Linked DNA regions of Drosophila melanogaster. The protein of the gene in region 3 interacts with the protein of the main gene of each other region in a pairwise test. Each region holds a gene or a part of one and is shown on either strand. Other genes may lie near its edges. The genes, in order: CG10321, CG15269, CG42727 and achi.

Evidence for each region.
Region 1: the proteins of CG42727 (region 3) and CG10321 interact in a two-hybrid assay, tested with the Drosophila melanogaster proteins (one large-scale study listed by BioGRID).
Region 2: the proteins of CG42727 (region 3) and CG15269 interact in a two-hybrid assay, tested with the Drosophila melanogaster proteins (one large-scale study listed by BioGRID).
Region 4: the proteins of CG42727 (region 3) and achi interact in a two-hybrid assay, tested with the Drosophila melanogaster proteins (one large-scale study listed by BioGRID).

What each region holds. Positions count from the first base shown.
Region 1 is NT_033778.4:21,631,251-21,639,514, reverse strand, and holds CG10321 (uncharacterized protein), read right to left. Parts: upstream 4,837-8,264; 5' UTR 4,534-4,836; intron 4,135-4,533; 5' UTR 4,112-4,134; coding exon 1,604-4,111; coding exon of another isoform or gene 1,544-1,603; 3' UTR 1,116-1,543; downstream 1-1,115. Other genes in the region: CG15674 (uncharacterized protein), read right to left, coding at 5,345-6,148, 6,206-6,550, 7,041-7,229.
Region 2 is NT_033779.5:15,107,209-15,115,129, forward strand, and holds CG15269 (uncharacterized protein), read left to right. Parts: upstream 1-2,196; 5' UTR 2,197-2,376; coding exon 2,377-3,318; intron 3,319-4,884; coding exon 4,885-5,706; 3' UTR 5,707-5,884; downstream 5,885-7,921. Other genes in the region: stc (shuttle craft), read left to right, coding at 6,682-7,026, 7,092-7,921.
Region 3 is NT_033777.3:15,344,657-15,351,558, forward strand, and holds CG42727 (uncharacterized protein), read left to right. Parts: upstream 1-3,391; 5' UTR 3,392-3,462; coding exon of another isoform or gene 3,463-3,786; intron 3,787-3,845; coding exon of another isoform or gene 3,846-4,847; 5' UTR 4,848-5,046; coding exon 5,047-5,682; 3' UTR 5,683-5,735; downstream 5,736-6,902. Other genes in the region: Surf4 (surfeit 4), read right to left, coding at 1-167, 233-496, 1,253-1,303; CG31301 (uncharacterized protein), read left to right, coding at 1,649-2,027, 2,138-2,496, 2,553-2,749, 2,808-2,969, 3,034-3,256; CG42726 (uncharacterized protein), read left to right, coding at 3,463-3,786, 3,846-4,847; Trs33 (TRAPP subunit 33), read right to left, coding at 5,738-6,127, 6,196-6,264; Tmtc4 (transmembrane O-mannosyltransferase targeting cadherins 4), read left to right, coding at 6,695-6,902.
Region 4 is NT_033778.4:12,509,953-12,517,940, reverse strand, and holds achi (achintya), read left to right. Parts: upstream 1-2,878; 5' UTR 2,879-3,165; intron 3,166-3,542; exon of another isoform or gene 3,543-3,597; intron 3,598-3,679; 5' UTR 3,680-3,696; coding exon 3,697-3,811; intron 3,812-3,879; coding exon 3,880-4,373; intron 4,374-4,432; coding exon 4,433-4,581; intron 4,582-4,681; coding exon 4,682-5,068; intron 5,069-5,157; coding exon 5,158-5,259; intron 5,260-5,318; coding exon 5,319-5,440; intron 5,441-5,506; coding exon 5,507-5,686; intron 5,687-5,751; coding exon 5,752-5,870; 3' UTR 5,871-6,407; downstream 6,408-7,988. Other genes in the region: CG8818 (uncharacterized protein), read left to right, coding at 1-104, 167-300, 353-537; CG13151 (uncharacterized protein), read right to left, coding at 683-2,497; vis (vismay), read left to right, coding at 7,502-7,616, 7,675-7,988.

The DNA.
Region 1 (8,264 bases), on a different chromosome or scaffold from region 3:
AACTGTTGGGAGCCAACAGTCGCCGGTTTTTGTTCGATAGTGCGCGATCCGAAAATAGATATTTTTGAAATATGTATTTTTAAAACGTAAAGCCCCATTAACATTTTTCCCATTGATTTCAAATGTTTGAAATATTTTTGTGTAAAAAATACACTATGTGATAGACTAGCAAATTTGTAGGAAATATTATCTTAAAAAGAATTCTTCTATTTTCTAATTAATTCGTTTTGGCCTACGAAATTTATCTTGACATTTATTTGGCTGCGTGGCCAAGTTTTATTTCGACGGTTTAAAGTGCAAGGACTTTTCCAGCCAAGCATGAAAGCATGACATTTAAGATGAAGAATATATTATAAGTGCAATGAATATATACATATGTAAATGTAAATGTAAAGCATATGATGGTATAGGTAAAGCCCATTTTAAAAATGTTGCATTAGATACAGCTAGTTACGAATCAAAAATCTAGCTATCTAAAATATCTATGTACAATATAAGCTTTAGTTTGGGCCAGATTTTCCAACAGCTGGCTGGAAAATTAAGGGCGGTAAGTCGAAGGTATGCGTCATATTTGTAAGCGGAAAACCAAACCTTTATCTTATCTTGCGAAACGCGGCTGACCGCCATATATAATCTGAACAAAACAAATAAACGCCTGGCGATTTTAGCTGTCACAATGTTATTCCAATTGATTATTTTCGCGGCTTATTTGCTAATTAATTAACAATTTCTTGTGACAGCCGGAGATTTCAGACTGCGATCAGATAACCGATTATTGGGGGGTCACTTTTTATGGATAATATAATATATATGTATGTACATGTACCTAAATCACACTAATAGGCATTTACAGATTTACATAAGCATCCATACGCGAATCGTAGTTATCCAGATACTTCCCATAACCGGATGAACGCGACACGTGGCAATTGGGAATCAATAGACAAGACCTTGGCTTGATTGTTGTTTTCTTTCGATCAATTTTGTTTGGGTTCTGTTTTTTCCCGGTCTTCTGTCAATGCAATTGAACAACAAGCCAACAAAGCCAGCGAATTGGATTACACGCTTAAAAATAAATATTACCGGCCAGATGGGACGTACAAGAAAGACAAATTATGGTTTCATAGAAGGTTTGTTAATTTATTTTGTTGTTCAGTTAAAACAAATTCACTTATTTCAAAGCCCAACAATGAAAACCCAACGCCAAAATACGTTTAGCCTAAAATGCCAGTCTGTATTCCCCGGGAAAACAAAATAATAATAGTAGGGTAATAAAATTAAAAACAAAAACTGGCACAGTCCACGCAGGATTTATGCCCCAAGCGTTTGGATGTGAGGATCCGCCTCGATCTGCCTACCTAAAGTTTCGTATCTGCTTACAAAATTCGAGTGAATCGCTTAGGTCCTACTAAACAAGTTCTACGACAGAAATCTAGGATTGCAATATTTGTGTAGTTGTGCTTATTCCTAAATTGTTATCTAGACGGGGGTAGTACAAAAATATATATATATATATGTATATATATTACATCTAAGTGGTCATCTAAATGCCGAGCAGGCACTCGCCGTTTCCAGGAGCGCCCGCTGCGGCAAACTCCGCTGGCTACGCCTGCGTCACGAAGTACACCTCGCCGGATGAGCCCATGACCACGGCGTGGGTATCGCCCGTGCCGCCGGCCAAAGTCGTACCCTGGCCGGTTGCCATCATGTTCGACATGTCGGTGGTGCCGTTGCTGACGATGCTTACCGCCCCGCTGAAAGCATCGTCCTGGCCACTGATCTGCACCTCTGCACTGTGATCCGTGCTCTCCACATGCAGCTGCAGTGAGTCCACGTTGTCGTACAAAGATCCGCACTCGCCGCACTTGAACAGCGGATCCACAACCTCCGGATGCTTGCGTTCTACGTGCCACTTGAGGTTCACCGCGGACGAGAAGTTCTTTCGGCAGTTGGCCACGCCGCAGCAATACGCTCTCTGCTGGTGCGTCTGTCTGTGCCTGTACAAGATCGCCTTGGACTTGAAGGTTCGATTGCAAATGGTGCACATCGGTGTGCTGGATTCAGCGTCGTGCGTCTTCATGTGCATCCGCAGCATTCCTGGGCCCTTAAAGCTCTTTAGGCAGATCTGGCACTGCGGCTGTTTCTTGCAATTGGCCCGTATCCAGTTGGTGTGGGAGTGCATGTGGTTCTGCAGGCCCTTGAACTGCCGGAACTCGGTGCTGCACAGGTGACAAATGTATCTCCCAGATCCCAGAGGCGAGGTGTGCTGTCGTATGAACTCAGTTACCAGATTAGCATCTATTTCGTAGTTGTCGTCCGCACCGGCGGCTGCAATCACGCTGGCCGTCTGCACCAACTGGCGAGAGTTGGCTGCGGCCAGCTTGCTGCTGGTCGTTGATCCAGCGGCAGGTGGTTGGTGGTCGCAGGGTTCCAGAGTCACACCGGCTGGAATTTGGTGGTTACTTCGCTTGGCTCGCTTTGGCGTCGGACTGGCCGAGCTGACGGTCATAGTGGGACCCACCAGGGCTTCCGTTGTAGTTGTGGCCTGGCTGAACTCTACAACAGCGTTCTCCAGTGATATGCTCTGCATCTCTTCTTGGTGCTGCTGATGATGCGACTGCTCAGAATCCATGAATGCCTGGTCAATGTCCACACTTGTCTCGCCATCCGGCGGCTCCATAATGGAATACTCCAGATCGTCGTCTACGTCGCCGGACAAATGCGGATCCTGTTCCTCACCGATGTACTCACAATCCTGGTCGATTTCCTCCCCATCCGGATCATCGAGCATCTCGTCATCCTCCAGCTGAATCTCCTCGATTATGAACGTATCCTGGTCCTCTTCGGGCTTCATTTGCTCCTCCTCGTCTTCTATCTCGTCCATTGCTTGCTGTTGGTCCAAATCGTCGAAGTACTCATGGTCTTGGCTTTCACTCTGCGTGAGATCCTCGTTGATCATTACTTGGTGGTGCTCGTGGTGGTCCTTTAGGAAGTCCTGCTGCTGATCGTCGTCCAGTACAATAGTCTCAAAGCTGTGATCTGCCTTGCTATCCAGTTGCTCGTACACATCTTCCAGTTCCTCGTCTTCCACCTCACAGCCGTCCTCCAGCAACTGCACGTCGGCATCACCGAGAGAAGCGCCTACATGCTGACCCATATCCGTGGCGTTGGTAGTTGTGGTCACTGTCGTGACTCCGGTCGGAGCCAAACTGCGTTGCGGCACAAGTTGAACCAGCTGCAGGGTCTGCGTGCCATTGGGCTGCTGAACAATCTGCAACGTCTGTCCGTTCGGCGTCTGTAGAAGCTGTGGCAGGAATTGCGATTGCGCAGCGGTGGCCTGACCATTAGTCGTTGACTGCGGCGCTGTGCTGATGATCTGCGCCAACTGCGGCGCTACAATCTGAGCAGTCGTTATCAATTGGCCGTTGGGCAACAGGATCTGCTGCGGCATAGTCGTGGTGGCACCGGCAGCGGACAGTAGCTGGGCGGGAGCAGGCTGAAGTGTGGGCATATGAATCTGCTGGATCTGCTGCTGCATAGTGGGCTGTTGCGGCGCATGTTCCTGCATTAATTGCATCTGTGGCTGAGGGGCGGGCTGCGGGACTGACTGTGGTGCTGGTGCGGCCTCCAAATGCCTCTGCTTCTGCTGGCGGGAGCCCTTGCGGAGCAGCGGCTTCAGTTTTGGTTTGGCAGGAGGCTGATGCTGTTGCTGCTGGACTATCTGCTGCTGGAGTTGCTCCTCGAGGATTTTCTGTTGCTTCTGCAGCTGTCGCTGTTGCTTCCGCTCCAGCTGAAGCTGCTGCTTAGCGTTTGCCGCCTCCTGCTGCTGCTGCTCCTCCATTACCAGTGCCACGGTAAGACCGCGGATATACTCGCGCAGCTCCTTGTCGCTGCGCTCGACGAGCGTCTTGAAGGCGTGATTCCGGCTTACGGCGTGGACGCACTGCACGCAGATCTTGTCCGGCCAGCCCTCCGTGGGCTCCACCCGCACGCTGGTACAGTCCATCAGCATTTCGGGCACCTTTTCGCTGAACAGCGGGCGCATCTCCTTGCGCTCCGAGATGCACAGGCGGCAGATCTTGTCAAGCTCCAGGACCTTCTTGCGATCCATCACTTCGTGTTCCTAGGGGGAGGCTGCAATGGGCCAGTTTTTTTTAATTTAAAATAACCATTAGAATGAGCGGATCCCCGAAAGGTGCATGAGTACGAGGTTTGTTATGATTTGCCCGCCAAAAAATGGTCAATTAAAATTCAGAATAATTTCATCTGTTGTAAAATGACCTGCTAACCCGCTGTTAATAACAGGGACTGTCGACACGTCTGGTAGCTCTTGTGCCAGACAGAGACAGCCATATTGTTATACACAATTTACCATCTTGGTGTTGGTGTGAGCGAAAAATGCGATTTTTAGGCCCAAAAAACGAAACAAATACATAATTCCCGACTTGAATTGGGTAAATATTGTTTTCGATTCACTTGCACCCGCACTTAGAGCACCTTTCGACCGGGTTCCCGCAACAAAAATGAACTCACCTGCGCTGTATTTATGTAATTTTCGCAGCTCGCCCCACATTCAACACAAAAAACTCTTTAAATATGGCCGCGTCACACAAATCGCATTCGGAACTCACATATTTGTGGTTCAGGGCGAAACACACACGTTCCCAGAGATGCGAACTTCAAAACCAAAACAAGTGCACACCAGTGGGTCTTTCGGGACCCTGATCGAATGAAATCACTAGCTATCTCTGGCGACGTTATCAATAAGGTTCTTCCATGAGATGAATGAATTGATGAACTGAACTTCTGCCTCTATCTGTCTTTCTCTGTGTGCGAGTGTGAGTGAGATGATAGGCGTGTTGTGAATGGCGCTGCCAACGTGGTATAAAGACAGAAATCCCTAACGCATGCCGGTCGGAAATCATTTTGTTTATTTCCTCAGATTTCTAGATTTCTTTTTAATACTTAAAACTTCTTATGTTTAAGGCATGAAATTCCATTGAAACTTACCTTTTCTCTATTTACAACTTAGGTTTTTGATGTGGGTCCTTCAGCTCACAAGTCTCTTTAATTTCTCGATTTTAGAGCCATTCCTTGCCGTTCATACCAGGGGATTTCTTTACATATTCAATGAAACACACAACAGTTTTTTGACTCACATTAACATTTTCAAGCCGAAATTTTTAATAAATCTAACCCAAAAAACGAACACACAAATTTTAATTCGAGGACATAGCAATTGAGCTGCCAACTCGTTTTTTAAACTGACATTTCGAACTGAAAACACCTGTTGATCCTGGTGTTATTTTCTGATTTAGAAAACTTAACTTAATGTCCATAATTTTTAGGCGGGTGGAGGCACATTCGTGTTGGCCACTTCGTACATGTGGCGCTTCTTGGTTCTCCTGTTGTGAGCGCTTACTACAATGTATATGCCCAGGATAATAGCGAGGGCCAAAAGCAGACAAGTAATCACAAACCAGCAGTAGAATCCTGGACCTTCCTCATCGTAATCCTCTTCCTGTGCGTTCTCCCACTCGGTATAGTTGCCCGATGGATCCTCCCTTATCTGGCCAACCTTCGGCTCTCGGAAAAGCGAGGCCTTGGCCAGGTTGCTAGACTCCGGAGCCATGAAAACCGGCTCCGTATAATCTATTCGGATGAAGGTGAGCCGGGCCCCGGTCAGAGTTTCCTTATAGCGTCTCAGCCCATGGCCATAGTACTCGTATATGTCGGCGTCGAACTCCCGATGCTGGTCTACCCATTGACCAATCACCTGCACCTTCACCTCGCTCCTGGGGTCCATGCTTCGTCCGAAATAGGCTTTTTCCGCAACATCCAGGCCACCCATACCATACAAGTCCAACTCGAGAACAGAGGACCGGTGCTCGAAGAGCAGAGGCAGCCTGGATAGCTTCCTATGCTGGTACACACTGGACATGTTCACAAGGATCTTCTCCACAAAATCGTAGTTCAGGCTACCGTAAATGGGCTTACGTTCGCCACTGGGATTTCGGAGCACACTGTCACCCAGGTGCATCTTGTAGCTGTTAGTCACATTGCGCCACGGCAGGTAAGTAATGTTCCTCAGCTGGTATGCCAAAGGTTCCAGTTCCACCAGTACGTTAATGTTATCCTCAAGACCATACTATAAAGATAACATATTTGTAGGACATCAACCGAACCATCTTCCCGAGGAACTTACAAAGTTATCGCCAAAAATCATGACCACACAGGTGAACAGATTGTCGGACACCGCATTGACAAGATCCGTGTGTCGGAAGTGACAGAGCTCTGTCTTCTCCCGCTCCACGTTCGTGGCCTTGGCAATGTATGTCAGTCGCTCCTTGGGATTCAGCTCGGCCGCATAGTTCTTGAGCACGGTGTGGTAGGGAATCCAGGCCAGGACCGAATCACCTCCGTTGGCGCACACCTCCGTCTGAACTCCCCTTCCAGTCAGTTCTCCGTTGCGCAGCCTAAAAAAGTGATGGTTATCTCGCCTGATTGTGGTGGAGCCATGATCTGCGCACAGGGTGTCCACGAGGTTTGCCTGGAAAATGAAGAGATAAAAGTAAAAGACTGAAACAAACACCTTGTTCGTATATAACCACCGTCTTCGGCTTATCTCAGGTCCGCCGGCATTATCTTCTTCAGCTGCGATGGACACTTTGTCACTTTATCGTCAAGCTAATTCAATTTGGAATATCAGCCACTCGAATAATTTATTGGCTGGCATTGGATTTGTCACTTAAGGATGTCGATGGGGCAAACTAGTTTGGCGACGCACCATTTGCCATTAAAGGTAGGGAGTTTTTCAAATTGAGGCCATTTTTAACAAATATGGAATCGTGCAATCTGCCTTAGTCGCCAAATAATTGCACTAACTGAAATACTTTTATTCCAAGAGCAGTTGTATCCATAACGAATTGCCATAAATTGACTGTTCTAAAATTCCACTTTTAGTATGTTTGCTTACCCCCCAAGAAAATCCAGAAAACTTTAGCTTATAAATGGGTATTCCCATATGCCCAAAATTTTACCTTCTCGTTTTGGGTCAACGTGGTGGCCTTAATATGGCACTGTAGGTCCTCCTCGCTGGGGATGACCACATGTCGATCGATCTCCGACAGAAGGAGGGGATCTGTCTTAATGCAGAAATGAGGATGTTCATCGAGGGCCGCACCCAGTGTCACCAGCACGGCCAGGCATCCGATGATGATGGCTTTCATAGACATTTCCGCAGATCAGATGCACAGAGTTCTTCGATTGAATTGCTCCACAGCCGTCGATAGGCACACTTCGGTGGTCAAGTAGTAACTAAATTTGCAATTTTCTAACACCTGAGCAACGGCCTATACGAACGCATTCAACTTGACCGCCAAGCTGTCGCACAACGAACACCTTAATATCACCATATTTATCTACTGATGAAGGATTCGGCCGAGATTCGCTTCGATTTTCGGTGAGAGCCGGTCCGTGTCCGTAATAGCGTCACCGAAAACCCAGTTAGTGAGCAACGACCGGGGTGATGAATGTATTCGTTTTCCCAACTTGCAGTCCACACTTGGCGATAAGATAATCGGCACCATTTGACTCAATCCGAATAGAACGTGTGTGTAACACTGGTTAGTTATGATTTCTGTAAGCATTAGGGTGGATCAATCAGTTTTCGTTTACTTTTATTTAAGGAAATAATATTAGATATTAATAACAACACATTTGAGTTCAAAGCCTAAGGTGGGAATTAATCAAATCAATACGACATAAATCTTTCTCACCATCGACGGCACTCTAGTTATAAACATTTTACAAGCCTTACCCTGGACAGCAGACATAAACAATTTTCAAACCAAGGAGAAGGCCCGCTCGCTGGACAGTTGCGATGACATGGAGACGGGACAGAGCCAGCCATCAACAAGTGTTATCCACCATCACCATCTTCAATAGCCCGCATCCGGTATCCACTTAACATCGCTCTCGCGACAGAAGAAAGTCAGCAGGAATCAACACCACTGACTGGCTTATGTAGCACCGCAAGACTTATTAAGGGAAATAATATTGTTTATAAATAAATTCAGTATATGATAGCATTAATTTCTAAAACGAAATATTTAATATTTTACATTCTGGAATTAAGTCTTCCAAGTAATAGATTTCTAATACAATAGGCTCCTTAGCATTATACAAAAAGTGGAAATTTTTTCTAGGTTTCTATAGCACAGAAAAAAGCCTTGTTTTCTAATAAAATTGTTTATTTTTGTTTT
Region 2 (7,921 bases), on a different chromosome or scaffold from region 3:
TAACCGATAACACATGACATTAAAGAGTTTCACAAAGAAGTTTTAAACGCACACAAAATAAGATAAATGCCGACCACCCCAATGAGGGGGAACCAGTCGACTGAACCACAACGCACAATCCCGACAATAACGAGCGGAAAATTAATAGTGTGAACAAAGAAGAAGAACCATGGGGAAGATCGAGGAGATGGAGATGGAGATGGGGATCTGGGCATCTGAGATAGGTATCAGCTTACATTGGAGACGGCCCCAAAACGACGACGGTAGTAAGGAGTTGGAAATTTGTCAAAATGTCAACGGGTGAAACAGTTTTGGAGCGTTCATGCGAGTCACCTGGATGCGTTGCGATGGGATGCTACGGATGGAGATGGAGCTGGCAATGGAGGGACTTCGCATGGGGCAGCCACGTAGCTTTTGTAAAACAAACCATTAGCAGCTAATAAACATTAGTCATGCGACAAAACAAAGTCTCCTGGAGTCTGCTGCAGAGGCCCGATGATTTAGTGAGTGTAATTAAAACTTAAGTTTCCTTCGCTTCGCATATGTAAATTATCTGGCGGAATTCCACGAAATGCCAACCGAACTGAAAAAAAAAAACGAAATACGAAAAAGAGTTTTTCAACTAAGGTTGAACAAGTTTTGTGGTGTTCGCCCGGTCCTCATATGTATAATTATAATGAATAGCCTGTTTAATCAAAATTTATGCAGATCGTGGTCAACCAAAGCGAGCAGCGCGTGTTGACAGTCAAACCATTATTAATCACTGGCAAGAGGATCGGTAGTTGGCTAGCGCGGAGGATTTGAAGGGGCTTCTCCGCCAGGTAATCCTGATAAGATCGTTTTGTAAGTGATCGTGGACAAATCGTGTGCAAGATTGTGCCTTGCGCATTAGAGTCTCTCTATGCGGCAATTGGCAATTAGAAAACAGAGACTTTCAATCCTCCAATCCTTGTGAGTCAGAATATCAACTCCATTTCACCGGATCTCATTCCATGTAGCTGTAAATGTATACCACTTCATTTGTATCTGCAGCTTCCTTGAATTCGCGTGGTGTGTCACCATTTTACTTCACCTGTGTATGGATCCTCCGAATCCTCGGCCTGGATACCATGTTATTTATGCGCGTTTCATCCAATCACAAATCACTTGAGGAGCATTTTGTTTTGCACATTTTTATGGCCGCTACTGATGCTATGCAAGTCGAGGAAGTGGTCACAGTCCCTCTTGGATGGCAACTAAATGTAGTGGATCAAGCTTAAATGCTTCAGAAAGAGGTATTTGTAGGGCACCCTTAATTGGCATAGGCTATTTTTTAATAAATTTATGGAAAAATATTTGGGTTCAAATTGTTGTTTCTTAAAAATTCTTTACTTTACTTTAATGGCACAGCACGTCCTTAATTACTAAAATATTTCAAGAGGGTGTCATAATCATCCATATATGATTATTTAGACCTTTTGGGCTTACGTTAAGTTTTTTGGCCAGTGTGGTCAATCATGAACCGTTAACAACCCTTTTTAAATTCGCAAGAAAAATACCTGATTTCCTATACACCATTTTGACGATCGTTTGACGGTTATGTCATCTAGTCCCTAGCTTCAATTCCTTCCCACACTCACACATGGCTAAGACTGCAGAGCCGTGACGAACCAAGTCACCTCAAGAGATGATCGCTGCGCATGCGCATAACCGTAAGATTCACACATGCCTGGGAATCGGATTCGGAATCAGCGAGGATGTGAATGTGGACGGGGATGAGAATGTGTGTGTGTGGATGAGGAACAAGAGAAATACATTTTGAAAATTTAACGATGCGCACATTTTATTACCGCAATTAATTACAAAAACAACGCGGCCAAAACGAAATCTTAGTCACTTTATCAGAGAGGTCCAGTGGATAAAAAAAATGAAAGAGAGTAGTGCACGGAGAGCGATCTGAAAGGAGCGATAAGGTTTATGATAGATGTGACTAGTAGAACGCTACTAGCAAATGGTTCTGGGTCTGCAGATTGCAGCTCCTCTCGTAATTGGAGGCGCGACAGTTTGTCTCCAGCAGTCAAACCTGGTTAATTGGAGAAGAGACTCCCGGTCTATGAGAGAGAGAGATACGGAGCGAGACCGACCTGTACGGTCAAACCTGTTTCTCGACCAATTAAATTCGAGAGCGGGAGCGTAAGCCAGGCTTTAGGCCCGGCCAAAAGACGATGACGGCTGCTGTGGGCTGTGAGGCCAAGACATTTCGTGTTTCGACGCGTAACGCGACAGTTCCCCGGGCTAAAAAGCGCCTACGCCTCAGAAAATAGTCATCCGAAACGGTAACGCCTGCGGTCTATGAGTGATTCTTCGGTGTGGAGAAGAATGGGTTTCAAGCACGCCATGCTGCAGCGCAGTTACGACCTTTCGCCCTCGCCGGCGCGTACTTCACCCACCAATGGAGTCCAGAACTTGGGAGCTGGGGCACAGTTGCCACCGGCTCAAGTCACTGACTTTAGCATCAGTAAGATTCTGGGCAAGGAGCGTAAATCCGCTCAGGATACGAGCACGAATATCCTGGATCTATCCAAGAGCAGTAGCAACAGTATTAGGAGCCCACAGGCTCTTGGAGGGCTGGCAATACCATCAACTCCTTATGCCTCCGGTGCCTACTCCATGTTGCCGCCAGATTTGGTGGCCATGGCCAATGCCACCAAGTTCTATGCCCAATTCTTCCCGCACTTACTGCCCGCCTATGCGGCTGCTGCAGCGGCTGCCGGCTTGAGTACTCCTCCTACGTCGCCCTATCAAACACATCAGCATCAGCAGCATTTGCCAAATCAGCAGAAACGCTTCTTTGCTCCCTATGTGATCAATGGATCGGTTCCCCCACCACCACCACTGCAGCAGCAACAGCAACCTCTCATACGCACCAAAAGCACCGCATGCACTCGTCCGGATTGCCCGGAGTGCCTGGATTATTACCAAAGATTGCAGACTGGTGGCTATAAGCAGACCGCACCTCTCATCTCACCCGCCGCCTCCTCGGTGAGCAGTTCCACCGGATCAATACGTCCTGTGAGGGATCTGATTATGAGTGCCACTGGAGGAGCCGCCAGCACTAACATCTCACTGACCACCGTGACCAATCTGAGTCTGAACTCGGTCCAGGCAACGGCCGTCGGAATGATGCCCAAGATGACCGGTGGACTGATCACCACAGCCGTCGGCAGCAACAGTGGAGCAATCGGTGGTATCGGTGGATACAATGCCACATCCGCCGAGGAGATCAGCTACAAGTGCCGGATTTGCGAGAAGGTATTCGGATGCTCTGAAACTCTGCAGGTGAGATTTTATTATTGTTATTAAATTATTATTACGATGGTGTTCTGTTTACAAGTATATATCATTTATGACAACCAAAGCGTTTAGTTATCAGTTATTAGCTTTAGAAAAGATAATTCATCCTAAATATATTCCAAACTCTAACCCAAGGATTCAATTTATTCTTAAAATCCCTCAAAAACGAGTAAACACAAAACACCCACGAAACAAATTTTTATATTTATAGTGTAGACAGAATTTTAATTTTTTTTATTTCATTAGACCTTCAACTTTTAAAAAATGAAATACAAATATTCAAAAAATATATGCAATTCCCAATTAGAATTTAAGAATGAAATGATTTAGATTTGCCAGATTATATTTTATTTCAGTTTGCTGCTGTTTAGTTATAAAAAAAGCGAAACGAAATGAACGATTGTATGAAATTTTCTTATAAATTAAATAGCACAATCAAACTTATACGTAAAGTCACTTAAAGAGTTTGTACTTACACACAAGCATTTGGCAAATGCACGCGTATTTTTTTTTTTAATTATAAGTAACAAAAAAATTAATGATTTAGATCTCATCAACGGTTACGTATACATTTATCACAAAGAAATATGTGTTTATGCGGAGTACTAAATGATTGAGAATTATTATTGCAAAGCCATTAAATAACTTTAGGAATTTAACTCCTTTCAAAACATCTAAGCCAAGAACAGCATTAACCTTTCACATGGCCATACATCACATAAGATATCGTTTGGCCGGTCCTCAAAGTCCACATCCACACGAGATCCTCCCAAAACGGGTTTCTTCACCAACAGAGATACCATATGGATTTGGGCGGGGCCTAAAAAACAGAGAAACAGTAGTCTAATTGGAAGGCGGAGCTCCGAAGAAAAGAGTGGAGATTCAAGTGGAGTGGGGAAGAGAGAGGCAGCGAAGAATTGAGTGCCTTATGCAAATCTCGCAAGCAATCCGAGTTCAAAATGGAGTCGGCCGAAAACAGAAACAGAAGCGGGCAAAAAAGAGAGAACTGGTTTTACGCATGGGTGCAGCTACAAGATACGTTAGAAAGGGCCAGACGCCGAGCGAGAGGTAATCACAAAATGGCCACTTTGGGAAAGAACACCAATTTCAGTAGCTAACTGAAGCAAGCCACATTTGAAGTTGCAACAAAATTATTACAAACAATGGGGAACATTCGAATGTGTAACCATGGTATTTTTTGCATTTCTGGCTTATTTTGTATAAGTATAAATGTGTCCAAAGCTCAGTTTTCAGTAACTTTATATTCGAAATCTTCCAATCCTCACTAGAACTTATAGAATAAGGTATTAATATTAGGACCTAATTAAAATGTTGCTAAACATACTCATCTTGAAAGCCTCCCTTCCAAAAACTAACTAACTAACGAACAGTTTGTAGAAAATCGCTGTTTTATGAATTTCACAACAGATTTTCACTACCTCAGGTTTTTTATTAAAATTTTAAATCTCTTACTATTGCTACAATATTACTATTGCTAAGCTAATGTATCTTATTTATTTATCTTATTTGTCTATTATGTTCTTATTTCAGGCTCATGAAAAGACGCACAAATCGCCGCGTTACGAGTGTGCGGATTGTGGAAAGGGTTTCTCCCAGCTGCGAAATTACAAATATCACCTGTCCGTTCACCGAGGAACCAAGGAGTTTGCCGCCGAGTGTCCCGAATGTGGCAAGACATTCAACGATAAGGGATATTTGAGCAGTCACCTAAAGATTCACCGGAACCGGAAGGAGTACGAGTGTCCTTACTGTCCCAAATCGTTCAATCAGCGTGTGGCCTTCAATATGCATGTCCGGATTCATACCGGCGTGAAACCCCACAAATGCAACGAGTGCGGAAAGAGATTTTCGCGTAAAATGCTGCTCAAACAGCACATGAGGACGCACAGTGGTGAGAAACCGTATCAGTGCTCCGTGTGCGGCAAGTCCTTTGCCGATCGCAGCAACATGACCCTGCACCATCGCCTCCACTCGGGAATCAAGCCCTTCAGCTGCCCCCTGTGCCCCAAAGCCTTCACCAAAAAGCATCACCTAAAGACGCATCTGAATTACCATACAGGCTGCAAGCCGTATGTCTGCCCACATCCCAACTGCAATCAGGCATTCACCCAGTCGAGCAATATGCGAACCCACGCTAAGAAGTGTCAGTACCGTCCGTTGGATGGACTCACGGTCACATCATCCGCACTTCCAGTACCGGGAAAACAACAAACAGGTCCACCGCCCACTTTGGCCATGGCCATGGCTCAAACATTTCAAATGCCGCCACCTCCTGGAGTTCTAACACCTGGATCTGGTCCATCCCAACCGCCGAGTCAGCAAACCCTTCTCAGCAATCTCAGGACATTCTAAATGGGTGGAATCGTTGTGCCCGGCCAGTTTCAACCAAATTTGTGGCAATTACAAAGTGCAGTACTTCCACTGTTGTTATTCAATTTACATTTATTTTCAAGCAATAATTTTGCTAGAAATTAAATTAGGAATAGACATTAATTATTATTAAAATAGGCATATATATTGGCCAGTCAATAAAGTATAATATCAAATACAAAAGGATTCCAGGATTCTAGAAATAATATTTTGGATTGGAGATATGATTGGGAGTCCAACTAGGTAATTTCGCTTATAATCAGATAACGCAGCCTTATTTAATTCAAATCTTCTAGTGACAAAAATTAAAAGATGTATGTTTTTTTAGTAAACAAATGAACGAACCGTTGCAGTACATTTAACATATTTAAAAGTGCGCTCTCACTCAGCCAGATGGCGCCACCTGATAGTTTATTACCACTGTAGGTGTGTTGAGTAACTAAACGAAATCTTGCTGTTAAATTGTATTCACAGCTGTCCTAAAACCGAGTTGGCAGCCCTTTTCCCCTCAAAAATCGAAAGTCTGTTAATATATCGATAAGTCAAGGCAATTGTCAGTGGTACCGTTTCGTCTGGTATGACCGTGTTGTGAAATTTTGTTAGAAATTTACAATATAAGCGAGCATAAAAAACGCAGGAAAAGCGCAAAAAAATCAGTAAAACGTGCCTGCGGACCCAGGCTGCGGTGCGTCCAGTTGGCCGTAGAAAGCCTTTACCAAATTCGATCGAACTGAGAATTCGATTCGGTTAACTTCTGCATTGGGCTCAATTTCACCATTGCACACGTGTCTGGAGCTTTTCCTGGGTTCGGTCACCTCCTCCTCGGATTGCGGACGATCCCGTGGTAGCGCTGGGAAATGCCCAGCAGAGGACGGCGGGCAGTTCGAGATTGTTCCGGCAAAGAAGCAGGCGCAACTGCAACAGACGCTGGTCACCAACGACAGCACCGGACTCTCAATGGCTGAGTACTGGCAGCAGTTGACCAACGGCGCCGGAGAAGCGGGACCCGGCAATGAGTCATCCGCCATGGCAGACTGCAACGGAGGTCACGAATCGGCGGCAGTGGGTGGTTCCTGCAACAGGCACAGCAACAACAATTACGTGAACTTCAATCAGTTCATTATGCAGCACAATCTGGGTGGAGGAGCGCCCTCGAATGCCACCAGCACTATGCAACATCCGGTGGGCAGCAGCTACACTAACTTCTCCCTGGGCGGCGGTGGAGGAGCCTTTGGACTGAACCCACCAGTGGCATCCGCGAGTACCAGCCACTTTGCAAATGTGAGTCATCAATCTCCGAATGTATGTTTCGATATATTAGAACTTAGGTTTAGTCCTAATGAATCAACTAATAAATCACAAAACAGTTTTACTCGCAGGCCATGATCCCAACCTATCAAAATGGCGATGGCATCGCTAGAGTCACCGTCACCAGCAGCTATGGGTCGGTCAATCCGAGCAACAGCAATTTTTCGAGTTTTTACACACCTTTTGGCAATAATCCGTTTGACTTCAGCGCTTCCAAGCTGCAGGCCTCGGCTCCGGAATTCGTGCCCAATTTCGCCAAGCTGAGTCTAGAAGAGACACCGGCAGCCGCCACTACGAACGGAAACAGCACTGCCAGCCTAGAGACTGCCATAAATGAGACGAGACCTAGGACTCTGCGAGCCCAAGAACCAGCTGAACGAGGAGCTAACAACCAATGCTCGAACCATAATTACGAACGGGAGCGTGAGCGGGAACGTGACCGGGACCGGGACAGGGAAAGAGACCGGGACAGAGACAGGGACAGAGACCGGGACAGAGACCGGGACAGGGACAGGGACTCTAGACCCGGAAATACGCGACAACAACGCCGCTCCGACTATCGGGACGATCGGGAGGACCGGTACGAAAGAAGCGATCGTAGGAGGCCGCAGAAGCAGCAACGCTACGACAATCATCGCAGCAACAAACGCAGGGATGACTGGAATCGCAACAGGGACCGCATCAACGGCTTTCCCAGGGCCGTTGACGATTTGGACACGAGCAATGAGAGCGCACACCCATCGCCCGAAAAGCAGTCGCAACTGCAGCAAATCTCCCCAAGGCGAGGTCCACCGCTACCACCGGCGGATAACGAAAAACTATCGCAGCGAGAGAAACTGGTTCGCGACATCGAACAGCGCCGATTGGAGTGCCTTGTATGCGTGGAGGC
Region 3 (6,902 bases):
GCCAGCTGCATGAAGTTCTTGGGCTTGTTTTCGCCCATCGATGGCACGCCGGCAAACAGGCTGCGCCCCTCTATCCTGGCTTCCGCCAGGACGAGCAGTAGGGCTCCGATGAGTGCAAAGTTTCGCAGTAAGAACTGGAAGTCCCACAGAATGGAGTAGGCAACGGTCTGCAAACAGAGGATCGGGTTAACGTCAAGGCTTTTGCTTCTGGCTGATATAAATGCAGACTCACCTGCAACACCACAATGAAGAAAAGCAGTCCCACCGCTATGTCGACCTTAAATCTGGCCATCACCATGCCGCAGCCGCCCAGTTGGCCCAACAGGTTGACGAGCACAAAGACGGTGGCCAGGAACTTGCCGCAGCCCCAGCTCATGTCCATGTACTCCCGCTGCTCGTTCCATTGGATGTACATGCGCAGGCCGTCCTCGAAGAACGTGGCGATGAGGCACAAACGGGCCACTGTGGGCAGCACATTTTTGCCGCGCTTGATGACCTGCAAAAATGAGTGTTCGATTGGTTCTGGTTGAGTTGAGAGCAATTGGGATGGGTGCTGATATGGTGATAAGGGGACTACTGACAAGGTGATAAGGGATTTAAATATACAATGCCGTTGAGCGTGGCTTGCGCGTAGTCGCTAGAAATCGCCCGCTGGCTGTGACGTGTCTCTAAACGCTAGTATCTCTCGATTGCTATCTGCCAGCTAACGGGTTTTGGCCCGGCTGTCAATGTAACTTCATACATGTATGTATGTAAATCGCGAGCAAGTTCACCTGGCTTTCTAGCCCAACTATTACGGAACTCGACCTGGCCGCTGGCGTCCAGCTGCCCGCTATTTCTTTTTCAACACTTTCACTTGCGGAGACAGCTCTCTCGCACACACACACAGACACATACGCATCAGCACACAGGTAGAAAATAAGCAGCGAGAGAGAGAGTTTTCCCTGCGGCAGACGCAACAACTGTCAATTGCGGTACTGGAGTACAAGGCAAACCCATCATCTGGGTTGCACCCAGATTCTTATTGGAAGCAAATGCCCAGCACGTTGCCCCCATGTCAGCGGATCGTGATTATATGCAGCCAAGACCCTCGAACTTTGCCGCGTTTGGGTGACGTTGGCAGTTTTCCCAGTTTGCAGCTGCCAGGGCTTCCCCGCAAACGCCATTTGGGGCGCATCGGGAAGACGCTTCCTGCGGTGGATATGGAGTCCTGGTGGACTTCTTTTTGGCAGTGGAACCTAATATATCTTACCTGTTCCGCCACATCCTCCGTTTTCGCTATGTACTCGTTGGGTATGCTCATGTTGGCTGCTTTGGGCTGATCCGATCTCTCACTTTGGGGCAATCGTCTGTGGAGACACTTTGGCAATTCGTTTCTGACTTCTTGGGCGTCGCGTCGCTCTCCAAATTGTTGTTAAGTTACCAAAAAATCATGAATTAAAAGGCAGGAACTTAAAAACACACACGCACGACAAAGTATAGCCGTGATGGGGCCTATCGTTATCGCTGCGTTATCGATAGCCAATGGGCAACACATGGCCAATCGAATTGATAATTCGCTGTGAATGGGAAAGCAGCAATCAAAAAACAAGCGTGCCTGTGCTCATTTTATTTGACAAGTTGAACGCTATTTATTTTCCCTGTAAAGATGTCCGTTCAACAATCCAAGCCAAAGCAGAAGAAAGTCAAAGTTAAAAAACAGGATGATGCCGGCTATGGATCCGGGGAATTTTCCTTGGACTGGGATGTAGACAGCTACAAGACGGAATACGAAAGTGATGAGCACTGGGATCTGCGACGCAGCTTCATGCTGGCCCACAAGGATCGTTTTGAGGAGGACCGGCTGGTGTGCCTGGCCCAAACGTTCGTCAACATGGAGTTCATGGGCTGCAAGTATCCAAGCGCGACGATGCTTTTGGTGGCCGAGTTGTCCAAGGAAATCGCAGCGGATTTCCGTCAGAAACGGGAACAGCGCCTGAAGAGAACATTTGTCTCGGCGTCGGATGCGGCGGAGCAGCGCGCCAAAGGTAGACGACTGAACAATTAGTGGGCCCATAGGCGAGAGAAGATTCTTTTTATCACTAGTAACTATACGAGCCAGAGAGACCAAAGCCTAATGCCTAATTCCAACTACTAGGGCGCCGGGCTCCACCCCTTCCCTCGACGAGCTCCCCAGAGGATAGCTCACACATAAAACGCCAGTGTTTTGGCGGCGGAGATCCAGTCGATCTCTATCAAGATCTGCGTTTCGGTCGGCTCATTGTGTACTTGGCTGGGGGACGAGCCTGCCTGCAAAACTCCTGCAACATTGCGAATGTCAAGTACGAAGAGCGTGTCAGCCGAGATCAGCCATTAAGCGATAATACAAAATACGCCGAATTATTAGTAAATGATGAGGTAATAGCGACAGGACAGGGGGAGAGCCTTAAGGCGGCCAAGAAAGCTGCCTATAAGCAGGCGCATTTGACGATCCAGTCCTATTGCTATAGTATTAAGGTATGAAATTTCTGAAATAATGTATGCCTTATTAAACCCGGTACTACGCTACACAGCTGAATGCCACGCGCGACACCATCAAGGTGGAAAAAAACAAGGACGGCGTCAACATCAAAGTCACCAATGAGTCCGCCGACAGTCCGTGCGATCCCAAATTGGACCCCAGCAACAAGGGATATCGCATGATGCGACTGATGGGCTGGACAGGCGGTGGCTTAGGGCGACTGAAGCAGGGACGTGAAGAGCCCGTATGGTAAGAGTTCGACTTTTAACGTATCACCAAACGAAACTATTTTATTTTATATTTTCAGTTATCTGCTAAAGAACAATCGTAATGGTCTTGGATTAATAAATCCAAAGGGAAATTTCGCTGATTACCGACGGCTTATAGAAAACTATGTGAGATCGGACGATATACGTGACATGCAGTTTGAGCCCACGTTTTCGAAGGAAGAAAGAACCACGCTTCACCAGTAAGCACCGTCATCCCACATCGTAAAAAATAATTGCTTATTATGTTGGCATTTCCCTTTACAGAATCGCCAGACAATTTGGCTTGCGTTCCGCTAGCTATGGGAGTGGAGAGAGCCGGCGCCTTTTGATTACCAAGAAGATCGACTATGGCACAATACTGACTGAGGTCCTGCTTCGGCGGAACCCCAAGTTTTGTGATCGTTACTTTGTGCACGTACCCATGCAGAAGGCGCACCTGTTTCCTGGTCATGTGGCCGACCTGGAGATGAACGATGTATGTGAATAGGCAGGACGAACAAAATCTCAGCTCATAGTACTCTTATAAAAAGATCTTTATTCTTAGTTTTAATATAAAGGATGTAAAATATATGAAAAGTATTTCTGACCGTGTACTTTGTTTACGTTTCGTGCTGAATGGCTGCGAGAAAGAAGAAGCATAGCTGCAATTTTAGTCTCCTGTATGTGCGATTTCAATGCATTTAGAATTTAGCAATGAATAAATGTCCTCGCTGCAACTGCGATGCTACAGGACAGAATCGCCTCGTCACCGACAGCTGTGGACACACCAAGTGTCGTCTCTGCCTGGTGGCGGATGTATCGGATTGCCTGGAATGTCGAGTTGCACGAAGTGTCGATATCCAGGAGACACAGGAAACGCAAGCAAGGACGTCGGCTGATAAGCGAATAATTGTCACAGATAAGGGCTACCACTGTACCGTCTGCAATAAGGATTTTCGCAGCCGGACCCAGCAGTATTACCACCTCACCTGCGGCAACGATCTTCTCAAGAAGTTCAACTGCAAGGAGTGCGGACGCGTGAGTTGCAGCATGTACTTATGCTGTGTGTAGTTTTCATGACTGAGATTTCCTTCCAGAGATTTGCTACCAGTTCACATTTAAAGTACCATCTAATGAGCCATGAGAAACAATCAAAACACTCGTGCAGCGTCTGCCACAAAAGTTTCAAGCAACCAATTGTTCTACAGCGCCACATGCTTACCCACAACCAGGAGAAGCATTTGTGCCCAATCTGCCAGAAGGTTTTCCGCCGCAAGAGCTCTCTTGCCAGCCACCTGGCGATCCACAGCGATCTCGGCCTGCAATTTAAATGCGAGCTCTGCTCTAAGCATTTCCAGAACAAGGCCAATTTGAACCAGCATCTGCGGAAACACGACAAGAACAATATTCGGCACATGTGTAAAGTGTGCCAGAAGTCCTTTCTGCGACAAACCACGCTTCGGCTGCACATGAAGCGCCACTCAAATCGCGAACGTCAGTCCTGTTCCCTGTGCGGCAAAAGCTACAATGATCCGGATGCTCTGGGCCGACATTTAAGACAACACAAGACTGCCGAACGCTACCGCTGTATCCAATGTGACATCACTATCAACCGAAAGGACAACATGCTGCGACATCTGCGATCCATGCACCCTGGTTGTGCGTTTGCCAGTACTGTTGAAATGGTTACACCGAGGTCCAGTGCTCAGGAGGCCACGACGGCGGAAGAAAGACCATCTCAGACTGTAAGATACAACAGTGTGATCCAGAGTGTGGGCAACGTTGAGCCAGTGATGTTGCTGCAATCTACGCCACTGCCATCTCAACTCCCTGAACTGCAGATGGAGAAAGGGAAAGCTGTCCCAGAGCATCTGCCTCTGCCAGATGTAATGCCAGAGGAGAATGTCCAGCTGTATCGCAAGATCATCTTGGATCTGGACAACGAGGAATACTCTAGCGAACCTAGCCCCGATGCCCAAGAACCAGCCATGCAACATCACCAGCCGCGTGTCCCGGGGCAAGGTAGCTCCAAATTTAGCGAGATGCACTGGCGCAAGAATTTCAAATATTGGTACCAAAAAGAAGAAAACACAAAGTGACGATATGATCTCTAATGAGTTGGCCCTTTTTCAAAGGGGTCCTCTAATTTATTAGAGATCAGTCAGGTGCTGCGAACCGAAGCGAACCGCAGCAATCTTGTTGGCCGCTAGCCATATTTCCGCGTGCCGGCGTCACTGCCAAGTTCACCGGCCATCGGAAGCAGCAAGACCGCTTAATTTGCAACTAACAGTATTCAATATGATGGACGAGCAATCGGAACTCGAGACACTGCGTGAAATTTATTACCTAACTGATGATGCGTCGTGCAACTGGCGCAAGTTGCTTGTCCTGGGCGACTGCCTGGACCAACAGCTCAAGCGCAAGCTGCTCTGGATGTGGCCGACATCGGTGGACTTGGACTACTTTAATCAGCTGCTAGCCATGCACGACATCCAGCGAGTTTTGAGCATCGGCTGCGGCAGTGGGCTTTTGGAATGGCTTATGACAGTGTCTGGAGGTCGGAAAGTCCCCATGTTTGGCTTGGAGGTCGATCGCAACTGGTGGCAGAGCAAGTACTCCGTTCGAAGTTTTATACCGCTTAACTATTTAGAGGATGCCAGCCAACTGGATACGGATTTATTGACCAAATGCTGCAGTGACGTTCATCCGTGTGCCTTGCTCTTCTGCTACTTCAACAATCGAGGAGCTTTTCTGGACTATCTAAATGTGTATCAAGGAAAGTGGCTTATATTGATTGGACCATTGCCCGCCCTGGGAATCCACACAGATCCCAATCCCGCCCAGCCCCAACTGCCCATCGACCAGTGGATCCTGCGAGAACGCCTTAACTGGACTGACCACAACATTGTGGCATTCTACGAAAAGATAGCCTAGTCTAGTCTGTAGTATCTCTATAATTGTAGTAATAAACCATTGCCTTACATCCTAATTAGTTCCTGTTCACTTCTATGTGAAACTTGCAGGCGGGTATGCTTTGCACTTCGGCCGTCACGGTGCTGTTAATGCCTAGATTGCTGAGAGCTCCTCGCACCAGCCCGCACGTGAAGGCCACGAACTTGGGCGCGTGCTCCAGCTGCTTGGTGCCCGGCGAGATGCGAGTCAGAAAGCGGAAAGCCTTGTCCTGCACAACGTACATTCCGTGGTTGTTCGTCCTCAGGTTGTCCACTTGCTTCTTGTATATAAGCATCCAGAAGTCGGTGCATATAAACTTCATAGTCTCCAACTCGTCCTTAAAACGCGAAACTTCACGGGTGAGCCGCTCAATCAGGCGGTAGCCGGTGGTGAAGCCTATATACTCCAAAGTGGCCAGGTCGTGCTCCTAATAGGCGGAACCAAATCAAAATCGGTTGTATGACTGATTTTTTTTTGCGTCCCTCGTGTTCCTACCTTATTGCTATCCAGACAATAATTGACTATCTCTGCATGGAGGCAATCGAAAAGGATTTCTTCAGACATTTTCGAGGATTTAATTTTTCTTTGTGAGTTCAACAAATTTTTCCTCGGATTTGTTTTGATCTAGATTTAAACAGCTGTTGCAAGCGTTAACGGGCGAATGTCTTGTTTGCTTTTAGTGGTTTATTGTTATTACTATTATTTATACTTTAATATCAAGAGTATGTATAATTATTTTAATATGAATACTCTAAAATGAGCAGATTTGATAGATCTATTTAGCGTAATTTCAAATCATTTTATAACCATATATTTTTCGATGCATATATTTAGCTAAGCTGCACACATTTCTATCGCTGATCTGGCATCACTATTCAGTGAGGGGGTGTTTGGACAAAAACACAACAAAAAATGTATACAAAACAATTCCGATTAAAATTCGCAGAATAAGTGAATTAAACTTGAACAATTGACAATTAGTAAATAATCCAGTATGCTAGACCTCGTTCACAAAGCCACGCTGCATAGCATGGTCTGTCAGGCAATCCTAGTGTTAATCTGTTTGCTATGCTACGGATGCGGTGGCCTCAGTGGAGCGAAGTTTGTCTTCGATGATACGGTGGCCATCGTCAAGAACCGGGATGTCAACTCACTGCCCACCAACTGGACGGCGATCTTCACGCACGACTTCTGGGGTGCTT
Region 4 (7,988 bases), on a different chromosome or scaffold from region 3:
TGTGTGTGGAAGCAATGCTTCGCTAGCGATTGGTTTTGCGATCAAAAATCGGCTTCGGAACTGTTTGAGCACTACAAGGAGCTGCAAGAGCTAGTGGAGAGGAGGTAAGTCGCTTTAATTTCTTTAAAAACCCGAAATTTGAATCCCAATGTAACCTTCCTTGCAGAGCCAGTTCTTTGTGCTCTTCATTTCTGGCCCGTAACAATGTTGATGCGGTGCATCGGCTAATCGAGGCGTTCTTGCAGCACCAGCAGCGTTTGGCCTGCTCCAGCTGCCTCAGCTTGCTCTTTAACTATCAATGTGAGTCTGTGCAACACAACCGAATATTATGTAACTCCCGTTTCGTTTTTAGATATGCGCAAGGATCTGCGAGCCTGCGCTGAGATTGTCAAATCCTGCAGTGAATTAGAGATGCCGCTAAATGAGCTGCAGAACGAACAGTTCCTCAGTCTGTTCCTCGACCAGAGCGATCCTGTGGACTCTTCGGGAATGGCCAGCAAGTACAAGGCACCCAAGTCCTTCCAGTACAAGTTCTAGTCCCCAGTTTCCATCGTTAAGCCGTTGTCATCGTAGTTACAGCACAAGTGTTTGCACCATTGAGCAATATTGCAAGCATCCCCATATTGCAAGCCCCCACAAGGAATGTAGTGTCTCTTCAATAAATGTTATTTAATATCCATCTTCAGGTGGCTCCTTCATCCACCATGTTGCCCTCGGGCAGTTGGCCAGGCAAAATGCCGACGCATTCGTAGCAGCGGGATATCAAGTGGTTGCCGCATCGATGTTGCAAGCACTGTTGGCACCGCGTCCGCGATTTAGTGCCACGCTTATTTCGAGCGCAGGGCTTGCACCTGCGATGCTTCTCTCCGTACCGACTAGCCAAATTAATGCCCAAGGGCAGGCTCATCTTGTCGGGTGTTAGCACGCCTACGCTGTGCGTTAGTTTCGCCTCGCCGGTCGCCTCACTGAGCAGCCGCTGACTGGATTGGCCCAGGATTTCGCAGATTTGCAGTCGCATCACGAGCGAAGTGCTGGTGGATCTTCGCTGAAGGCGTCGCTGTAATCTCTGCTGTGTGAGGAAGAGTCCCAACTGTCTCTGGAAGTCGCGCTGATCCATAGCGGCATCGCCTTTGGGCGAAAGTCGTAACAGGATCCATGCATTCACGGCAGCCGCGTTGAGCACAAAGTGAAGTAGTTGCAGAAAAGGATTGATCTGCTTTTTCAAGGGTGCGGGCGTAGCGTGGGCTGTGCTGAAGCGCTGGGAGTGTTCGTAAAACTGCTGACAGGCTTCTGAGGTTTGCTCATATGCCTGGACTGCATCTACTTGGGAGCTAAGACCGCAGCAGAAGACTGCGTCGCCATCGAGCGGAATGAGTTTTGAGCTGCCACCAAACAAGGGTGATTCTGTGGGCCACTGCCGCGGCCAATGTGGCGAATTGGCCTCCAGCTTACCCAACGAGCTTATTTGCCGCTGCGCCAACTGCTCGCACTGCGTCAAGTTTAGATACCGTGATCCCAGCGTTACATTTCTTCCCGTGGTCTTGAAATCGCAGATCAGTTGTTCTACATCCTTGTCCGGACATCTCTGGTTTCTGCTTACCACTGCATTGGCCATGTACAGTGTCCTGGCATCACAGCAGAGGGTCATCCGTGACTTGGCCACCGCGCAGAATGTCTCATCCACGGTCAACCAACTGCTGCAGCCGTAGTAGGATCTGCAATTGATTATAAGGCGCTGCCAGAGCTTTTGGCCCTCGGACCAGCCGCAATTTCCCGCCAGACACTCGGAAATGCTTTCGAATCGAGCGAGCGACATGGATGCTCGGAATATGGCATTGCCCAGCTCCAGGGTCCACAGCTCATCCAATGGCCCATTGTGCCTGGCATTTCGGAACACTCCACAAAGGTAGCTTAGACCCAAGAATGCCCGCAGCTCCACAACGTCTAGGGGTCTCTGGACACTTGTGGCCGTTCTCCGCTTACGCATCTGTTCATTGATATGGCGAAGTAAAGACCGCAGCATTTCATCATCGAAGAGCAGCATCCATGCTTCCACTGCATTGGACACTGTTCGGGCGGGTCCCTTGCCACAGGCCTGTTGCCCCAAAAGGGGTAGATCCTCTGCAGAAATATCTGGGCTCCTGGTCACGCTCCATAGCTGCCCACAAGGAGATGTGTAGTTTCCGTTATTATTTGGTGGACGACCACGTCCTCGCTTCGGGGCAGCTGGCCTGGCGGAATCCTCCTTCTTCAGCACCACGTCAGCCAGTTGGTCCTCGTTCATCAGCATGTCGCTGTCCTCGAAAATCCAGGGAAAATTGCATACTGCTTCCTGTAGCGGATCGGAGTCATCTCCGTTAAAGGAGGCACTTTGGACTGTGGAATCGACCGGCGGCAGCCGCTCCTCCACCTCCATCTTTTCACCATCCTCGTCTTCTTCCTCCTGGTCGCTACATTTAATATTGGCCAGCAGCTCCTCGTCCAGCACGCATTCCATTGTTTGTTTATAAACTTGCAACAAAACAAACCTTTTCAGTCGTCGATAGGTTAGGACAGTAACGTCTATACATATCGATAATTTATATAGTTATCGAAAAAGACATTTAAAACATAAATCTTAAGCTTGAAAGGTTGAAAACTTATAAAAAAAATAGTTTGTTCTATTTAGAAAAAATTATGTACATTCTAAATATAACTTATTTATTTTAAATGTAGATTTAATTTCCAGCGTAGAGATAACTAGTGTATGTTTATAATTCTTAAACAAATTATACTTAACAAAACTTGTATTTATTCTTGGCGCCACTGTTCAAATTTCAAATGAACCTGCCAACTGAACTAACTCCCCAGTGGACCCCCATCCATGATTTATCGCACATAAGCGGCTATCGGATTTCTTTCGCCACTAATTTGTTGTTTGGCACGCAGCAAGGAAAAGGAATAAAACGCTTTAAAACCAGTGCCAAAATAGCTTTCCCCAACGTTCGTTACTATATTTACGTTGTCTGCAAAAAGAGTTTGTCTAATTGGCCTCGATACTACGGTTGTGACGACTGCCCCGTCACTACAGTTTGCTGAGTGCAGTAACCGGGGCCTGGCTGAAACACTGGGAAAACCAGTGTTTAGTGTAAATAAATGATAGTGGCACCCATTCGGACATCGCAGGTGAATCCCCGGGAGCTCAAGACGCCCGTTATTTGGGCGCGCAGTGAATTTGTCAAAATATTTTGGTTAAAGTGTCAATTTGACATGTTATATGTCATGGTCTCTCGTGTGCCAGTGCGATAGTTATCGATAGATAGCCCCAACTTAATTTGTTTTAAATATTTTTAAATTTCTTCTTTACTTAATTCACTACTGTAATACGTTCGTTTAATGTATAGTTCCTTGGAAATTAATCGATTTAGCAAGTAGACCGATTGGAAAGAAATCAAAAATCGATTTGAAATGCGTATTTGAACCTTAGTTGGCCATGACTTTGGTGTCTGAATGACGCCTGCCCTCAGAAAAAGTTAGTTGAATCTCAAAGTCTGTGGTGACAACACCTAAAGAAACTAAAAAGTGACAGGTTTCTCTGTTTGTAAAAAAAAAAAAATTGTAATTAAAGTTCTGTTCTTTTCCTTTCAATATTTGCATACCGTTTCTGGTTGTGTTTTAATGAATTTTCTGTTTTCTGAAGCTTAAGTCTGAGCTGCAATGATCTCGCCGGAACAAGAAGAGGTCAACATGGTCCTGGATCGCCATGTACGGCAGAATATCCAGGACATGATGCACGAGGCTCATGTCCAGGCGAGCCTGCTGGAGAACGAAGGTGAGTTTGCTATATTTCGGTCGAGTTCGGTCTTGTTCATGCCCGTTTTTTTTGCATGTCATCTGCAGGACGCGGCCGTTTCCACTCGGACTCAAGTTTGGACCAGGATTCTCTTCACGCTGACGTCATCGTGGAGGAGGATCAGAGCACCGAACACGGCGCCAACCAGGTGCAAAACTACCACGACATGATGGTGGACAGTGAACACCACATCGACATAAATGGGTCGCTGCGCAAACGTCGTGGAAATCTTCCCAAGACCTCTGTAAAGATTTTAAAGCGTTGGCTTTATGAGCACCGCTATAACGCCTATCCGAGCGATGCGGAGAAGTTCACCCTGTCCCAGGAGGCCAATCTGACGGTGCTCCAAGTGTGCAACTGGTTCATCAATGCCCGTCGCCGCATTCTACCGGAGATGATCAGGCGCGAGGGCAACGATCCTCTGCACTTCACCATATCGCGACGTGGCAAAAAGGTTAGCCCCAACTGTTCGAGATCAAGTGCGTTGGGCGCAAACTTGACTGGGCCGAATCCCGCACACGGAAGTCCTGCTTCCGAAGTGGTGTGTTATCTTCTGGTCAATCATTATACCACTGAAGTTACTAAATTGCTTGACTCCAGGTCGTTGGCGCTACAGAGGAGGTGGATGGCGCCGGTGAGATTCACGAGGGCATCGCCAATGTGCTGACCAACTTTGAACAGTATGTGCAGGGCCCCAACGGACAAATGGTCAAGATGGAGCCGGAGTACGAGGACAGTGTCATCTACAGGTAACTGGTAACCGGTCTTTATGACCTGCTTCCCTAGCGTTAGTCACTTCTATCTCCTATCCCATCCCACCTATGTCCAAACTCCTTTTCCTCTTCCAAGCTGGCAGCAGGCCATTGCAAACAACCCGATGGGCTTTCAAAGTCTTCACTCCTCGCTTCAAGCAACCATGATCGATAAAATTAAAAACTATCAGATGCGCAAGGCTGCCGCCATTGGGGGTTCGGCGGTTGGCTCTGGTGGTGCTGGTGGGTCGAGCTCCAACTCCAGTCCTGCCACATCAATACTGCCATACAGCCTTTTTGGCCAGCTGCCGCCAGAGTTCGATGACGAAGAAAAGCCAAGACCTCCGAAGCGCGTAAGAACGCGGACGGTTGCTGCAAAGAGTCCTAGGGAGAATGCCAAGCAAGCAAAGCAGAAGACTGGGAATAAGCAAGAAACCATGTACTGCTATAAGGATTCATACGGCGGAATCGTGGTGTCTCCTAGGTACAGCTTCTGCTCCCATTGACTGATCCAGAGCCTTAAATCTTACTCAAGTGCGAGTGGCGGTGCTAAGATTTTACTTTTACCCCCAGGTCCGAAGGCGAAGAGAGTGCACAGGGATACGAGTCCTGTGGGCCGAACAGCGAGGAGGAAGTACGCTTCGAGACCTCCCATGATTGGCAGAGCGTTATAAAGTAAGTAGCTATGTGGATGTATTAAGAAAATATTGTAATCTCGGCCTCTGCAATTCCAGAACTGTATTTGGTACTGAGGAAGTCAGCACTTCGGCTGGCAATAATCCAGGTACCTCTGGTTCTAAGGGATCTGTTCAGAATACCGCCATCTGGAATCGCAATCAGACTGCGAAGCGTGACGGTGAGTGAAGTTTGCAGACTTAGAGCTCGGTTTCTTTGGTAATATCCAACTCTTTTACTCCTAAAGTGAATCAACAGTTGACTGACTTTGAAAGCGAGCTGAATAGAATACAGGCCTCAGAAATCCAGACAATCGATCCTACCAACTCCAATCAACAGGACATTGGTGACAATCTACAGGCGGACGAGGTGTTTACCGGTGCCGAAGCAGAAGCTGGCCAGAGTCAATTATCTGCTATGTCGCAGGGTAACCTATACCTATTTTTATCAACTTTATATTGAATTTTTAATTATTTTATAATCTTGCTTTAGGCACAAGTCCAGATGAGCGTGCCAAGTACAAGTGTCTCTATTATCTAGTGGAAACTGCCATGGCTGTGCGCCAAAACGATGACGTCCAGGATGACGATTTCGTTTACATGGGAGACTAGAGCCTCAAACCAAATACCCACGCTACAGATCCCGACTTCCCAAAGTGCCGAAGCGTGTATATACAAATATGTATATATAGATATATATATATACTTAAGTAATTTAATCGAACAGCACTAGACCCAAAAATTTGTCTATAACCCCCATGTTATTGTGTTAATTGAGTAGGTTACTAACATAACGTACAAAGCTATAGATCAATTCGCAATGCGACCGCCCAAATACCTTTTTCCACAAAGTCAATTCACAAACAAATCGACTTAGTTTTGGACCTGACTCTTTTAAACTTAACATGTACACTACTGATACTTAAATAAAACATAAACAAGCATTTGAAATACACATTGCCATAAAATGATGGTGTGTTTTATCTAATTGGCTGATAGAGCCATTTTTTTAAGGTATCTAGTAATTATGTACACATACATACATAAAATGAGAACGTTTGTGGAAGGACAAAATTAATTTTGTTATAAATATTATAAATGTATTGGAATACTTTGGTTACCACAGATAATAAAGAGTGGCGCAAAAACAAAATGATTCGATTTTTAACTATAAAGCTATAGAACAAAAAAAAAGAATGATATATTCGAGTTCCCCGGCTATCAGATACCCGGTACATATATGTGAAAATGTGAACAAGAAATTTCATAATTTTTCTGGGGTATTGATAGATAATTCGGAAAAAAGAAATATCCAAAAATTTTCAAAAATGAGGGCGTGAGTTTTGCGCTGTTTTAGGGCGTTACAGTGGGCGTGGCAAAAAGTTTTCATTTTTCAAAAGTGTGGGAGTGGCATTTTGTACGGTTTGAAAGCGTTGGAGTGGACGTGGCAAAATAGGTCCACAAACTTGTGATAGTTCCTGACTTCATACGAACGGACAGTCAGACGGACGGACGGACAGGTCGACTCGGGTATTGATCCTGATCAAGAATATATGTGTTTTATATGGTCGGAGAAGCTTCCCTCTGCTATTACATACTTTATAACGAATCTAGTATACCTTTTTACTCTACGAGTAACGGGTATAACAAGTGACGATCGCACCTCCAACATACAAATCTTCTGAAATCAAAATGATATTACATTTGACCAAATAAATGCGCTTGTCTAAATTTTACAAATCAAAATTTTTATAAATTTTGGATAAGGTAAAAAGTACATTTCGAGACGCCCGTTACTTGGGCGCGCAGTGAATTTGTCTAAATATTCATGGTCTCTCGTGTGCAAGCGCAATGTTTGTGCGATAGTTATCGATAGTTGGCCCTAACTTAATTAATTTTAAATATTTATAAAATTCTCCTGTACTTAATTACTTACTTTAATACGTTCGATACAAGCAGACCGATTGAAAAGAACCATTTTTAAAAATCAATTGAAAAAATTTGTTTTTGAACCCTAGTTGGCCATGACTTTGGTGTCTGAATGACTTGCCTGCCCTCGGGAAAAGTTAGTTGAATCTCAAAGTCTGTGGTGACAACACCTAAAGAAACTAAAAAGTGTCAATTTTCTCTGTTTGCAAAAATTGTAATTAAAGTTACTGTGCTTTTCCTTTCAATATTTGCACACCGATTCTGGTTGTGTTTTAATGAATTTTCTGTTTTCTGAAGCTTAAGTCTGAGCTGCAATGATCTCGCCGGAACAAGAGGAGGTCAACATGGTCCTGGATCGCCATGTACGGCAGAACATAAAGGACCTGATGCACGAGGCTCATGTCCATGCGAGCCTGCTGAACAACGAGGGTGAGTTTCCTATATCCCGGTTGAGATCAGTCTTGTTTATGGCCGTTTTTTTCTCCAGGACGTGACCGTTTCCACTCGGACTCCAGTTTGGACCAGGATTCCCTTCACGCCGTCGTTGGGAATGATCTGAGCACCGAACAAGGCGCCAACCAGGTGCAAAACTACCACGACATGATGGTGGACAGTGAACACCACGTCGACATTAATGGGTCGCTGCGCAAACGTCGCGGAAATCTGCCCAAGTCATCTGTAAAGATTTTAAAGCGTTGGCTTTATGAGCACCGCTATAACGCCTATCCGAGCGATGCGGAGAAGTTCACCCTGTCCCAGGAGGCCAATCTGACGGTGCTCCAAGTGTGCAACTGGTTCATC